2 linked regions of the Arabidopsis thaliana genome follow. The protein of the gene in region 1 interacts with the protein of each later gene in a pairwise test. Each region holds a gene or a part of one and is shown in the gene's direction. Other genes may lie near its edges.

Region 1 (6,472 bases):
CAGGAGACAAAACGTTATTATTTCATCTTAAAAATCTTGTCTTAAATATCGAAACAGAGAATAGTAATTATAATGAATTGCATTGCTTTTAAAACCTTAAGGGGTCCTTTGATTTTACAAAAAGGACATTTTTCCTTTCTAGGACTAGATAGCTAATTTTTATTGGCCTTAATTGTTTGCAGATTCAAGATTATGATTGCAATTTTTCTAAAATGAATCCATTATCCAAGCATCTCAAACATCTTTTTTTTTTCTGTTAATCGTTATTCAACACAATGTTTTTTAATCTATCGTTGCACTAGTTGTAAAAACGCTATTTTCTTTTAAATCTAATTTAACATTAAATTAAAAAAATAATAATGTAAATGTCAAACCTTTTGTATATATTTTTTTTTTTGTATGAATAAATGTCAAACTTTTTCTTCACGTTTACGTTAAAAGTAGTTTACAAAAAGCTAAAGAGTATTACAATTTTAAAGATATTTTCTTTTGAACATCTCACTTTGCTTGTTGTTTGCATCCAGATGGTGACGCGGCATTAGATTAAACTATGCCTATATGGCATGGTTTATGAATTTTGTGAGAGGTTACTTGTCGGTACATCCTGCATGTTGCTGATTTTAGTAAACTAGGATAGTGATATTTTGAATCGTTGTTTATTGCCTAGACGTCTTTTACGAGTGTTTAGCGATCCATTAAGTTTTCTTTGTCATTTTAGGTATTACAAACTCAAAAGGATGATTTTTTTTACATGTACTCATCTAATAGGATTAATGATTTTATAATACACCTTTAATAAAACAAAAACACAATTCCTGGTCGCTATTAAATTCTCACCAACAAAAATATAAATACACAATCAACCGCAACCAACGAACTTTCTAAATGTTAAAGATTTAACAATTACAATCAGAAGAATGGTTAAAAGAGAGAAGCAGAACTTAATGGATTAATCACAAGGAACAGATGAATCAATAACCCTTTTGTAACTAAACAAATAACCTATTGATTACTTATCAGATTTCTTGCCAAGTTTCATCCATTTGAATCCAAGTATGGCCTTCCCGATACCGCTTTTGCTTCCATCTTCCTTCTTCTTCTTCTTCTTCTTCTTCTTATCGTCTTCGTTACTTGAATTTGGAGGAGGATCAGAGTTGTAATCCCATTGATCAGCCCATGATAGTCCAGAATCCATCTTCTTCGTCTCTCTTTAAGATTTTGTGGAATGAGAAGGTTTAGAAACAAATATGAGGGTGAAAGAAAGATTTTGTTTTACTTATTATAGACAGTATTGGTTTGACACAATGTCTATAAGTTTCTTGGTTGCTTATTTTTGGGGTTTATCTGTTTTTAGTTGTGCCTCTTTGCCCTTTGGTTGGACAAAGAATCAACATCTTTCACCTTTGACTGTGAAAACCCTTCAACAAGAAAAGAACCCCTTACCTGAAACACTTGAATTTTTTTGAGTAATCAAAAACTATACGCTTCAACGGTTCAACCTAATTTCTCTTTTACATTTTATTCAACATTTTCAAAGGATAGTTGAGTAGATTAATTACTGTTGATAAAAAACGACATACAATTTTTTTTGTCACGCTTTGAAATTATATTATTACGCTTGTTTCGTTTTGTGACATTGTACTACCAACAATAATTGTTTTTTATAGTCAACCATATCATTAATCGGAGCGGTCCCTTGATTCGTTCGAGCGACCCTCTAATCAATTGGGAATACTGTGACAAATAACCATGCATTTATGCTTCAACAATTTTAGTTTTCCTTCATAAATATCACGGGATGCAAGTGACGCTAAGCATAAATAGTTCGTCTGTTTCATTGACTTTGTAATAGAAGATGAAAAAAGAAAATATATAGATATTTATCTTCCTTTTGATGTCATGACGTTTCGTGATTTTGATTTACAGTGTCAAAAAGAGAGATTACGCTAGCGAAACGTCACTACGACCAAGATTTAGTTGGAGTATTTATACTCTGATCATTCTCAATTTCTCATCATCGACATTACAAATATGCAAAATTAACAAAAAATAATAATATATACAACTCATCACCTTATATATCTAAGAGCGTTTTGTCTAACTAATAATATGTTAGCATTTTTATGCCACTATTAGTAATTTAATAATATAGTTATTGCTTAAATATATAGATTTTTAACATATTTTCTCTTAGATATATATATATATATATATATATATATATATATATATATATATATATATCAAGATATAAATAAATTCTACTAAAAGAAAAACAAAAAAACAGCTAATTTTTTGTCGGTCAACTCAAAATAATCATTAAATGAGAAAGATATATTTATCTATCGAATAAATATTATTTTATTTTTTAAAAGCGAAACACTCGTTAGATCAGGTGACCATGAAAAGAAAAATTCAGCTCTATCCAAAAAAGAAAATAAATCATGCAAATACAGGGAGAAAAAAGTACGAAATTACAAAAAAAAGCCATGTCAATGTAAAGAGAATCATTGAATCAAGAAGAACGATTGGGGGTAAATTAGTATTTAAATTGGTCTAAGCATGAAACAGCTTCCAGCCGATGGTGCCTTATGCCTCGGGCAAAAAAAAAGACCAAACACACTAAACAAAACTACCAAACAAACTAACAAACATTCCCTTCAAATTCGGAAAAGTCAGAATCTCATCACCTATTTATTACACTCTCATAAACGCTAACAAATCGTTGAATAGAATAATTAAGCAGGTAAAATCCTAAACCGTCAGAGAATATCTATCCTCCTCTTAAATATCACTCTTATCTTTATCCTCCTAAAATCTTCTTAATTGTATCTAATCTCTTTCTCAAAAACCAAACACTATCTCTCGATTATATCACAAGGAGATATGGGGAACAGTGAAATGTCAGCGAGTGAGGTTGCGGCGGCCAAGCAGAAGAACGTCGACGATTGGTTACCGATCACATCTTCCAGAAACGCTAAGTGGTGGTACTCTGCTTTTCACAATGTCACCGCCATGGTTGGTGCTGGTGTTCTTAGCTTGCCCTACGCTATGTCCAATCTCGGATGGTATACTAATTTGTTGAATCTGATAATCTTAATCTCCTTTATGTTTTAATCCATGATCTGATCTGAGTTTTTGATGTATTACAGGGGACCTGGAGTGACGATTATGGTGATGTCATGGATCATAACGTTGTACACACTGTGGCAAATGGTGGAGATGCATGAGATTGTTCCAGGGAAGAGGCTTGATAGGTATCACGAGCTAGGTCAACACGCTTTTGGTGAAAAGCTTGGCCTATGGATCGTCGTGCCGCAGCAGCTTATCGTGGAGGTCGGTGTTGACATCGTTTATATGGTCACAGGAGGAGCATCCCTCAAGAAAGTCCATCAACTAGTCTGTCCCGATTGCAAAGAGATCAGAACTACGTTTTGGATCATGATCTTTGCTTCCGTCCACTTTGTTATCTCTCACCTTCCCAATTTCAACTCTATCTCCATCATCTCACTTGCCGCGGCTGTTATGTCCTTAACGTAAATCTCTTCAACACACATATATTGGTTTTACTTTATAACTTGAACAGAAAGTTAGAATAATTAACCTAGAGCATGCCTTGTGGTTCAAGGCTAGGGATCAAAATTGTTGTATATTTTCCGGTTATTAGAAGAAAAACTTAGCATAATCCCAAAATATGTAGAAAACTAGGTTTTATTGCCTGATGATTTTTATGATCTGTACAGTTACTCAACTATTGCTTGGGCTGCATCCGTGCACAAAGGGGTACATCCAGATGTGGACTACTCTCCTAGAGCATCAACCGATGTTGGAAAAGTATTCAACTTCTTGAATGCGTTGGGAGATGTGGCTTTTGCTTATGCAGGTCACAACGTTGTGTTGGAGATTCAGGCCACAATCCCTTCGACTCCGGAGATGCCATCCAAGGTCCCAATGTGGAGAGGAGTTATTGTAGCCTACATTGTAGTCGCCATCTGTTACTTCCCTGTAGCATTCCTCGGCTATTATATCTTTGGAAACAGCGTTGATGACAACATCCTCATCACTTTGGAGAAGCCTATCTGGCTTATTGCTATGGCTAACATGTTCGTGGTTATCCATGTCATTGGAAGCTATCAGGTATTCTTCCACATTCTAGTACTTCTATATTTTTGATTGAAGTAAGAATTATTTCATGAATATTGACACCTTTGTGTGGATTCAGATATTTGCAATGCCAGTTTTTGACATGCTCGAAACCGTTTTGGTCAAAAAGATGAATTTCAATCCTTCTTTCAAGCTCCGCTTCATTACTCGTAGTCTTTACGTCGGTAAGAACCCACTCCTCATTTATACATATGTAACGTCATCCTCCTACTCCATTCATTAATTAATCTCATTTTCATCAATGTACATTGGACCGTGCAGCTTTCACGATGATTGTTGCGATATGCGTCCCGTTTTTCGGTGGACTACTCGGCTTCTTTGGAGGATTCGCCTTTGCCCCAACAACTTACTACGTATAGTACAAATAATCCCTTCATTTCTTTATTGGTTTATCCATAGATTAAAGTTGTGAATTTATATACACATATTAATTTGTAACTGCAGCTTCCATGCATTATGTGGCTCGTTCTCAAGAAACCAAAGAGGTTTGGTCTATCTTGGACAGCTAACTGGGTATGTTCTTTAGTAATCAATGGTACATAATCTATAGCTCTTGTTTTCTTGTAAAGTAACAATTTTTGTGTTTTGGTTTGTTGGTGTTGTGGATTATGAAAAAATACAGTTCTGCATCATAGTAGGAGTTCTTTTGACGATCCTTGCCCCAATTGGAGGACTCAGAACCATCATTATCAACGCCAAGACCTACAAGTTCTTCTCTTAGATGGATCACTTTTTTTTGTAACCGCGCAACCGAAAAATAAAATCACGGCATGTCTAATTTTATGTGACTGTCCGTTTAAGTAAATTTTATGTTTTCATTGTAGTTAAGACAATTATCTTTGGTTTCTTTTGATAATAAACTCTTTTTCAAATAATTAATCTCCATGATCTGGTTCTTCTAATGTTGTGATTTCGTAATTTATGCAAGAACGTACACGGGAATTTTATGACACGTCTAGATGCAATGTTACCATGGTCAGCACGACACTGCGTTTTGTTTTTCTTTATGGTTTATGGATACATTTACATTAGATGATTTGGATCTGTGGTTAGATTTAATCTTAATCACGGGGTTTTCACCTGTCAACAATATGACATGACTTGAAAACGAATTTATACTTTCCAGTACAGCATGCATGAGTGATGAGAATAATTTAATAGCTTCGTTTATTATTTTGGCTTTTCAAATATCTTGATTTATACGTTGTTTTTGTTGATACGTGAACCTGTGATTCTGGTCGTAACTCGTAACGCCACATGTACCCTTTTGTGGAGAGTTTACTTGTAAACGGCAGACCAAGAACAAAATGTCCTTTCATCAATTTCTATCTAATAGAGAAATCGGCAATTTTGGTTATAAAGCTCTTTGATGAGTCTTCTCCTTGTCCTGCCTTAATTATCCTTTATGCTAGGCTCGGCTTCATCGTTACAATTTGCTCCGATCCAGCTTTGATTAAACTCGCTCTATATGTACATGATCTTCTTGTTTCTTTGTCTATGCATGTATTTTGTCATACAATTCTTTCTTGATTAATATTAGGAGAAAAACATAGAGCTCAGTAGTATAAGTATATACAACCAGTCCACGCATTCTGCTGCTTCCTCTTACCACATTACTTTGGACACCATGGATCTCACCGCTCTTCAACCTTTTGAGACTACAGTTTATGACATATCATATGGCAAATTAGCTTTATCGTGCCGTATTGCTAGACCTCTAAGTCATTACGAGACTTTTGTAGTGGTGCTTATACAACAAGCAAGCCATCTTACTAAATGATCATCATTGATGTAGTTAAATTCTTATTAAATTAGAGAATTATTTTTGTTTGTATAGTTAAATGTTACAATATAGTTTTAAAATATTATTATGTTAAAATTTTACCTTGAATTAACACAAAACAAATTAAAATTTTGATTTTGAGATATAGTGAAATAGGATAGGAAAATAGTTATTTTCAGGAAGAGAAATTGTGGACGGTACATTTAAATAAATTAATATAATTAATTAAAGAAGCAACAATTATGGTACAAAAAACTAAAGTTGGAAAAAATTCTTATAAAATACATGATATATCTAATGACTAATTTTAGTCAAACTACAACTAATGAAAAGTACATGTGTTATTAAAATAGAATGTCAAACACCACATTATTAGACATAGTTTAGAAAAATGCTTGTTATATTATATATATAAAAAGATTTAATCTATGGAGTACCTTTTTTTTTTCTCGGGATATCATGACATTTCTAAATTGAAGTTAAAATACATCTCCCCCTCTCTTGGTATGCCAAATTGTTTAACAA
Region 2 (7,205 bases), on another chromosome or scaffold:
ACAATCTGCTGCAATTTAATAGAAGGAAAAAGTCAATGTTGCTACATTACCTAAGCTCCTAATTAATGAACTAAAGAAAAAAGAAACATCTTTATACCTTTAACTACAGAATAATACACAATGTCTCTCCTCAAGCGCATTCATATGAAAGAATCATCAAAAAAAACCAAAGCAGTAACATTTTTTATAGCTTCATCATTCAGAGGAAATGACTTCTTTTGGCATAAATCACTGCCTCCAAACGAAATCCCCTAATCGTCAATTTGAATAAACAAAAGTAACTTGATTGAAAAAGAAGTACTTTCCTAGTGAAGAACACAAAGTTTCCTGTTTCCACTTAGACAAACAAATCTATAAAAAAGAACCAATAAGACAACATACATGTTCACTCGGTACAATCCTACATTGAAATTGACAAATCCTCGTTATAATATAAGCAAAACCCAACAAAGACTAAAACACCCTTCATCATTAGAAATCAAGAACATGCAAAGAACAAGCAAACAAAAAAAACTAATCCTCTACCGAAGCAGCAGCAGCATTATGCTTAACTAAGTGAGAGAGACTCACTTGAAGTCACAGAGCATTAGGTTTCCACCATCTTTACAGATAAAGCACCAATCCTCACACTCCTTCTCATCCTCCTCCTCATCATCCAAAATCTCCACTACATTCATATCTCTCGCCATCGCTCTCTCTCTCTCGATCCGATGTTACTTGGCGGTGACCTAGTTAGTGGCGACAGAGCAAGAAGAAGAAAAACTTATCTCTCTAATTCTGATATTAAGGCTGAAAATTAGCCAAATAAATAGCTGTTTGAGTGACCTGTGTCAGTATTACTAGATTCTTAAGGATTCGCTTTGACCAATCACCCAAACGCCAACCTCTACTTTCCTAAAGTCTCTATTATACCCCTATCGTATCCAGGACACGTGTCCATTAAACACAGTTTCATAGGGGTTATTTCGTAAATTGAATAAGTCTTGCGTTCAGATGGACCTTTTTTTTTTACTTAGCGATTGCGTTTTGTGACCGGGAAGTACAATGCTCGCAAGTACAAAAGATATCGAACCAAGTTTTGTCTTTACCTAAATTTTGGATTATAAGTGATATTTGTTGTTAAAATTAATTTACTAATTATAACATTTTTATGAACAAATCATTTACAAGTTATAAGATTTTAATAAGTAAGAAAAGTAATCTGGCATTTGGTTTCACAATGTTCAAATTTATCTTTCTTTCTTTTTTTTTTGCTCTGAAGGCTTTTTTCTCACTTACCTAAGTTCATTTTTTCCTGATAAAAATAGAAAATAAATTTGAGTTTGTTTTATTTGTGAATGTTGATGAAATTTAACTTTTGAAATATACGTTCTAGATTGAGATATGATCATCAGATCTTTTTGCAGATCGAACAAAAGTCTCAATAAGGTGAAGAATCGTATGACAACATATAAAGGGAGGAGCATAAGAACATGTCCAACTAATCAAGCATATTAGTATTGATATCATTATTCCGTATATATTCTTAGTCTCTTCTTCCTCACATTATGTTCTCTTTCTCTTTTCTTCACCTAATTTTCCTATTAAAAATATCTATCTTTTTTTCTCTTCTGCCTACATTTCTACATGATGTTTCAACATAGCTCTTAAGGGAAATAACCTAAAGTTTTCTAAACATTGATGTTTTACTACGTCTTTTTTGAAAGGCGGTAACTAAATTTGTTTTTTTTTTTGTTTTTTAAAAGGATATCAAAAGATCAATTACTTACCTTATAAATGTTAAAAATGTAAACTTCTCAATGTTTGAATTTATTTACTCAAAAACAGATAGTTAAATATATATATATATATATATAGTTATAGGTTATGTTAAAACTATTTTAGTTTGTATCATATCCTTTGATTTGAAGGTCAGAGAAGAAAGGAATATATACAAAAACGCCCTTTTGCATTGTCATCGTCCAGAATAGTGGAGTAATATAACACGAACAAGTGGAAGTGTGGAACCTTCTTACACATGCTTCTGTCTCTTCCTAAAGCATAAGCCATTTTCCCAAACATTATTAAGTTCTTAATTAAGTCATTGGTTTGTTTTCTATTACTAATTCGTTTAAATCATTCTTTATTACTTTATGTTTATTTTGGGCCATCTATATCCTTTTTTGTTAAAATTGATATCCTTTTTAGCCCCAATCACATCCCAAGTTACACACTTGCAAAAGAGATCTCACCCAAAATAAAGAAGCAAAAGAAGATGGAAAAATACACCTCCATTAAGAAATCAAAGATGTTTCAACTTAGTGGGATTCTCTTTCTCTCAAAGCAGCATTTCTTCATCTTCTTTTTACATCATAGAGATAAAAATATGAAAAATACCTTTTGTGGGTCCTTTATAAGCACTAACTTCTCTTTCTTTAGATGATTTTACATTATTGTTGCTTTTATTGGCTTCATTATTATACAAATCCTCCATTTCTCTCTTCAACCCCATGTTTTCGTTCTCTTCCGTTTAGAGTGTTTTCAGCTCCTCTATGGCTCACTCGGGTATTTAAAAGCTTTGTTTTACTTATACTTTAATGCCTATCTTTCTCCATTGTATATTAATTAGGTTTCTTGGTTTTTGTTGTTTATTTTACATAACTTTATTGTTTCTTTTAGTTTCGAGTTACAAAATATTTGGTACATATTTAGGTGAAACGGAGAGGTTTTTGATCATCAAAGCAAAGAGTCAAAGACAGAATTATAAATTTTGTTGTTCTTGATACTTATAAGCTTTCATTTTTCTTAATGTTTTCGGTTCAAATGAGCTCTGATAGAGGAGTTATGGATTGATCTGACAATGTTTCACATCAGAAAGCAATCAAAGCTGTTAGTTTTTAAGACATAATTAGACCCACAAATCGGTCTTTTCTTTTCTTTGCTTTCTTATGTTTAGTTAACATAGTTTGATCACACAAGTTATGTGTTTCTTGTATAGTAAGTTAACTTTCTCCATCGATTTGCTGCAATTTAGACTATAGATTCTGCAGCAGAAAAGAAAAGCTGTTTAAACTGAGATTGACTGATTTAATAAACTGCAGGGAACGGTGAAAGTTTCCATGATCCTCTTCGAGGATTCATTCAAAGAAATTGCTTTAGATGGAACAATCAGAAATTGATCTTACAATGTTTCATGGCCTTAGCTTTTGTGGGAATCACTTCGTCAACAACTCAACCAGATATCGAAGGTCTATATATAATTAGCCTTTGTTTATAAATCATTAATGATCTTGTAGTATTAACTCGCTTCTTGATTCATTTGCTAGGAGGAGCTCTGTTGCAGCTCAGAGATTCGCTTAATGATTCGAGCAATCGTCTAAAATGGACACGCGATTTTGTGAGCCCTTGCTATAGTTGGTCTTATGTTACCTGCAGAGGCCAGAGTGTTGTGGCTCTGTAAGTACTCTTAAAGATCACTTCTCAAGTTTTAGTTACCAAGATTTCTCATCATGTTGAAAAACTTGTTTTGTATCAATCTGTAGAAATCTTGCCTCGAGTGGATTCACAGGAACACTCTCTCCAGCTATTACAAAACTGAAGTTCTTGGTTACCTTGTAAGAGATCATAAACCAATTCCATTACAAGTTTCTTTTTAGGTTCCATTACTCATAGTAATTGTTCTTGATGCAGAGAGTTACAGAACAATAGTTTATCTGGTGCCTTACCAGATTCTCTTGGGAACATGGTTAATCTACAGACTTTAAACCTATCAGTGAATAGTTTCAGCGGATCGATACCAGCGAGCTGGAGTCAGCTCTCGAATCTAAAGCACTTGTAAGTCCACTCAAAAACTCTTTAGGAACAATCTTTGAAATGTGACTCTGTGAGAGCGTTTGGCTAAGATAAAACATTGAAATTTAATTCACAGGGATCTCTCATCCAATAATTTAACAGGAAGCATCCCAACACAATTCTTCTCAATCCCAACATTCGAGTAAAAAAAACTATTTTCCTCATGAATCTACCTAATTAGTCACAGTGACTTGTCAGTACTATAATCACGTTTTTGTGATTTTTCTGCAGTTTTTCAGGAACTCAGCTTATATGCGGTAAAAGTTTGAATCAGCCTTGTTCTTCAAGTTCTCGTCTTCCAGGTTCTTAATTATTTCTTCTTTCTCCAATTCACATACAAACAGAAAGACTTAACTTAGTATCTTTATGTTCAGTCACATCCTCCAAGAAAAAGCTGAGAGACATTACTTTGACTGCAAGTTGTGTTGCTTCTATAATCTTATTCCTTGGAGCAATGGTTATGTATCATCACCATCGCGTCCGCAGAACCAAATACGACATCTTTTTTGATGTAGCTGGTAAGAAGTTACATATACTTATAGTCAAACATCTCATTAGATCAATATGAACTCTTGAGCCAATATCCTTTTTCCTTAAAAAATGCAGGGGAAGATGACAGGAAGATTTCCTTTGGACAACTAAAACGATTCTCTTTACGTGAAATCCAGCTCGCAACAGATAGTTTCAACGAGAGCAATTTGATAGGACAAGGAGGATTTGGTAAAGTATACAGAGGTTTGCTTCCAGACAAAACAAAAGTTGCAGTGAAACGCCTTGCGGATTACTTCAGTCCTGGAGGAGAAGCTGCTTTCCAAAGAGAGATTCAGCTCATAAGCGTTGCGGTTCATAAAAATCTCTTACGCCTTATTGGCTTCTGCACAACTTCCTCTGAGAGAATCCTTGTTTATCCATACATGGAAAATCTTAGTGTTGCATATCGACTAAGAGGTATATATACTTAGCTTCTCTATCACTTAACCAAATAATAGATTCTATAATGTGTGTGTACATATGTGACATTGTAGATTTGAAAGCGGGAGAGGAAGGATTAGACTGGCCAACAAGGAAGCGTGTAGCTTTTGGTTCAGCTCACGGTTTAGAGTATCTACACGAACATTGTAACCCGAAGATCATACACCGCGATCTCAAGGCTGCAAACATACTTTTAGACAACAATTTTGAGCCAGTTCTTGGAGATTTCGGTTTAGCTAAGCTTGTGGACACATCTCTGACTCATGTCACAACTCAAGTCCGAGGCACAATGGGTCACATTGCGCCAGAGTATCTCTGCACAGGAAAATCATCTGAAAAAACCGATGTTTTTGGTTACGGTATAACGCTTCTTGAGCTTGTTACTGGTCAGCGCGCAATCGATTTTTCACGCTTGGAAGAAGAGGAAAATATTCTCTTGCTTGATCATGTAAGATTGACTTCTTTTACATGCTTTCTTCTATCTGAAAAGACTTGAAACTAATCTTAAGTTGTTGGATGTGTATGAAACAGATAAAGAAGTTGCTTAGAGAACAGAGACTTAGAGACATTGTTGATAGCAATTTGACTACATATGACTCCAAAGAAGTTGAAACAATCGTTCAAGTGGCTCTTCTCTGCACACAAGGCTCACCAGAAGATAGACCAGCGATGTCTGAAGTGGTCAAAATGCTTCAAGGGACTGGTGGTTTGGCTGAGAAATGGACTGAATGGGAACAACTTGAAGAAGTTAGGAACAAAGAAGCATTGTTGCTTCCGACTTTACCGGCTACTTGGGATGAAGAAGAAACCACCGTTGATCAAGAATCTATCCGATTATCGACAGCAAGATGAAGAAGAAACAGAGAGAGAAAGATATCTATGAAAACAAACTTGCATTACAGAAGATAAACTTAGAAAGTATTTTAAGCTGCTAATTGTATTGAACCAGGTGGGGAAAACGAAGCAAACACACAACGTTGATTTGTGTAATAGATGATATGATATACATAACTAGTTGTGTTTTGTATATATATGAATTTGGTTATTTTCGTATGATAATGATGATCATGGTTGTTATGGTGGCAGTGTTTGCTCTGTTTTTCTACATACGTCGTCGTTTCGTGTGTGTCCCGTAAAAATTATAAACTTCTGAATCCAGTCCTTGAAGTTTAGTTGGTTTTTCAATTTTACCTTCAACTTTTGTATTCTAACAATTTACCCCACTTGTGACATTGTTTATGGCTAATTTTACGTCGAGTATTCTTGTTTTTTTCTGCACGTCGAGTATTCTTGTTTCTAGATTGTAAATGATGTACTATCAAGAAAACTAATTGTCCAGTCTATGTATCTCATGAAATTATTAGACTAGTGATTTATTGGAAGGGATGATACAGTGACAGAACAAAACAAATCTAGATGTTTTTGTTGTAGTGACATGGATTCAGAGTGTAGATTCATAAGAACAGAACTTTCATGGATTAAGATTTATTCTTAAACTCTAGATCCTCTGGTATTAAAATACAGATTGTTAATTTTGGTGTTGTGTACTTTGGGTGCGTTAAATGAAGGATGAGGCAAGGAATGGGACCGGAGACAGACGTAAGCGGTCAGTGAAAAAGAGAACTCCTTTCTAACTTCCTCGTAAACCGGGCTGTTTTTCTCGGTTCTTGGTGCTTGGTTTCCGCTGACACCGACATGTCCGGTTCCCAGGTAACTTTCTTCTCCACCGTCCGATTCAACTATGAATGAACGTCCAGATCTTCGTTTTCCTTTTCTATCTCTTTGGTTTGTTATGACGTGTTCTTCGGTATTTCTCCTGAGCCTCTCAGACGTACCCTAAATAACAAACAACGGGTCCCCAAAAAAAAAATTTTATATGCAAAATTTTATTAAATACGCAATCAATAGGGAGACAATGTTACAAGCTATATGTATGCATATTTACTCCCTACAAAAAAAAATATGTATGCATATTTTACATGTTGAAAAAAAAAGAGTTATCATGTGAAAAAGTGGGATGATATTCAAAATATAGTAGATATATCAACCATGATTCATATTAGTATAGATAGATTTTGTTACTAGTATAAAACCTATAACATTGAAAAAAAACATTTCTAACCAGTATTAGTATTAGTATATACATGACTTGGTAAAAAAAAGAAATGTAAATCATACTACTTTAATTTATAACTAAAAAAAAGACAAAATTTAGTAAGTCGTTGAGGTGGAGCCAAAAGCAATAATAAGGTAATAATAAATCGAGAGGAAGGTACTTGTCTTGCATTCAATACCATTAGACATATTATATGCACATTTACCATTATGTATAATATTTTATTTATTTTAAATTGTGAATTAGACACTTATATTCAGAAAGGAAAAATGATCCTATAACTACA

The links. The genes of interacting proteins can lie anywhere in the genome.
Region 2: the proteins of LHT2 (region 1) and AT5G63710 interact in a protein complementation assay, tested with the Arabidopsis thaliana proteins (one large-scale study listed by BioGRID).

The regions. Positions count from the first base shown.
Region 1 is NC_003070.9:8,649,976-8,656,447, reverse strand, and holds LHT2 (lysine histidine transporter 2), read left to right. Parts: upstream 1-2,532; 5' UTR 2,533-2,886; coding exon 2,887-3,068; intron 3,069-3,152; coding exon 3,153-3,536; intron 3,537-3,743; coding exon 3,744-4,137; intron 4,138-4,222; coding exon 4,223-4,328; intron 4,329-4,425; coding exon 4,426-4,517; intron 4,518-4,608; coding exon 4,609-4,677; intron 4,678-4,786; coding exon 4,787-4,885; 3' UTR 4,886-5,041; downstream 5,042-6,472. Other genes in the region: AT1G24405 (uncharacterized protein), read right to left, coding at 1,010-1,195. UniProt on the Arabidopsis thaliana protein: Amino acid-proton symporter. Transporter with a broad specificity for neutral and acidic amino acids. Basic amino acids are only marginally transported.
Region 2 is NC_003076.8:25,496,944-25,504,148, forward strand, and holds AT5G63710 (Leucine-rich repeat protein kinase family protein), read left to right. Parts: upstream 1-2,567; 5' UTR 2,568-2,960; coding exon 2,961-2,976; intron 2,977-2,989; exon of another isoform or gene 2,990-3,080; coding exon 3,081-3,227; intron 3,228-3,305; coding exon 3,306-3,435; intron 3,436-3,521; coding exon 3,522-3,593; intron 3,594-3,669; coding exon 3,670-3,813; intron 3,814-3,907; coding exon 3,908-3,973; intron 3,974-4,062; coding exon 4,063-4,133; intron 4,134-4,205; coding exon 4,206-4,349; intron 4,350-4,437; coding exon 4,438-4,779; intron 4,780-4,856; coding exon 4,857-5,251; intron 5,252-5,334; coding exon 5,335-5,655; 3' UTR 5,656-5,888; downstream 5,889-7,205. Other genes in the region: AT5G63700 (zinc ion binding / DNA binding protein), read right to left, coding at 571-689.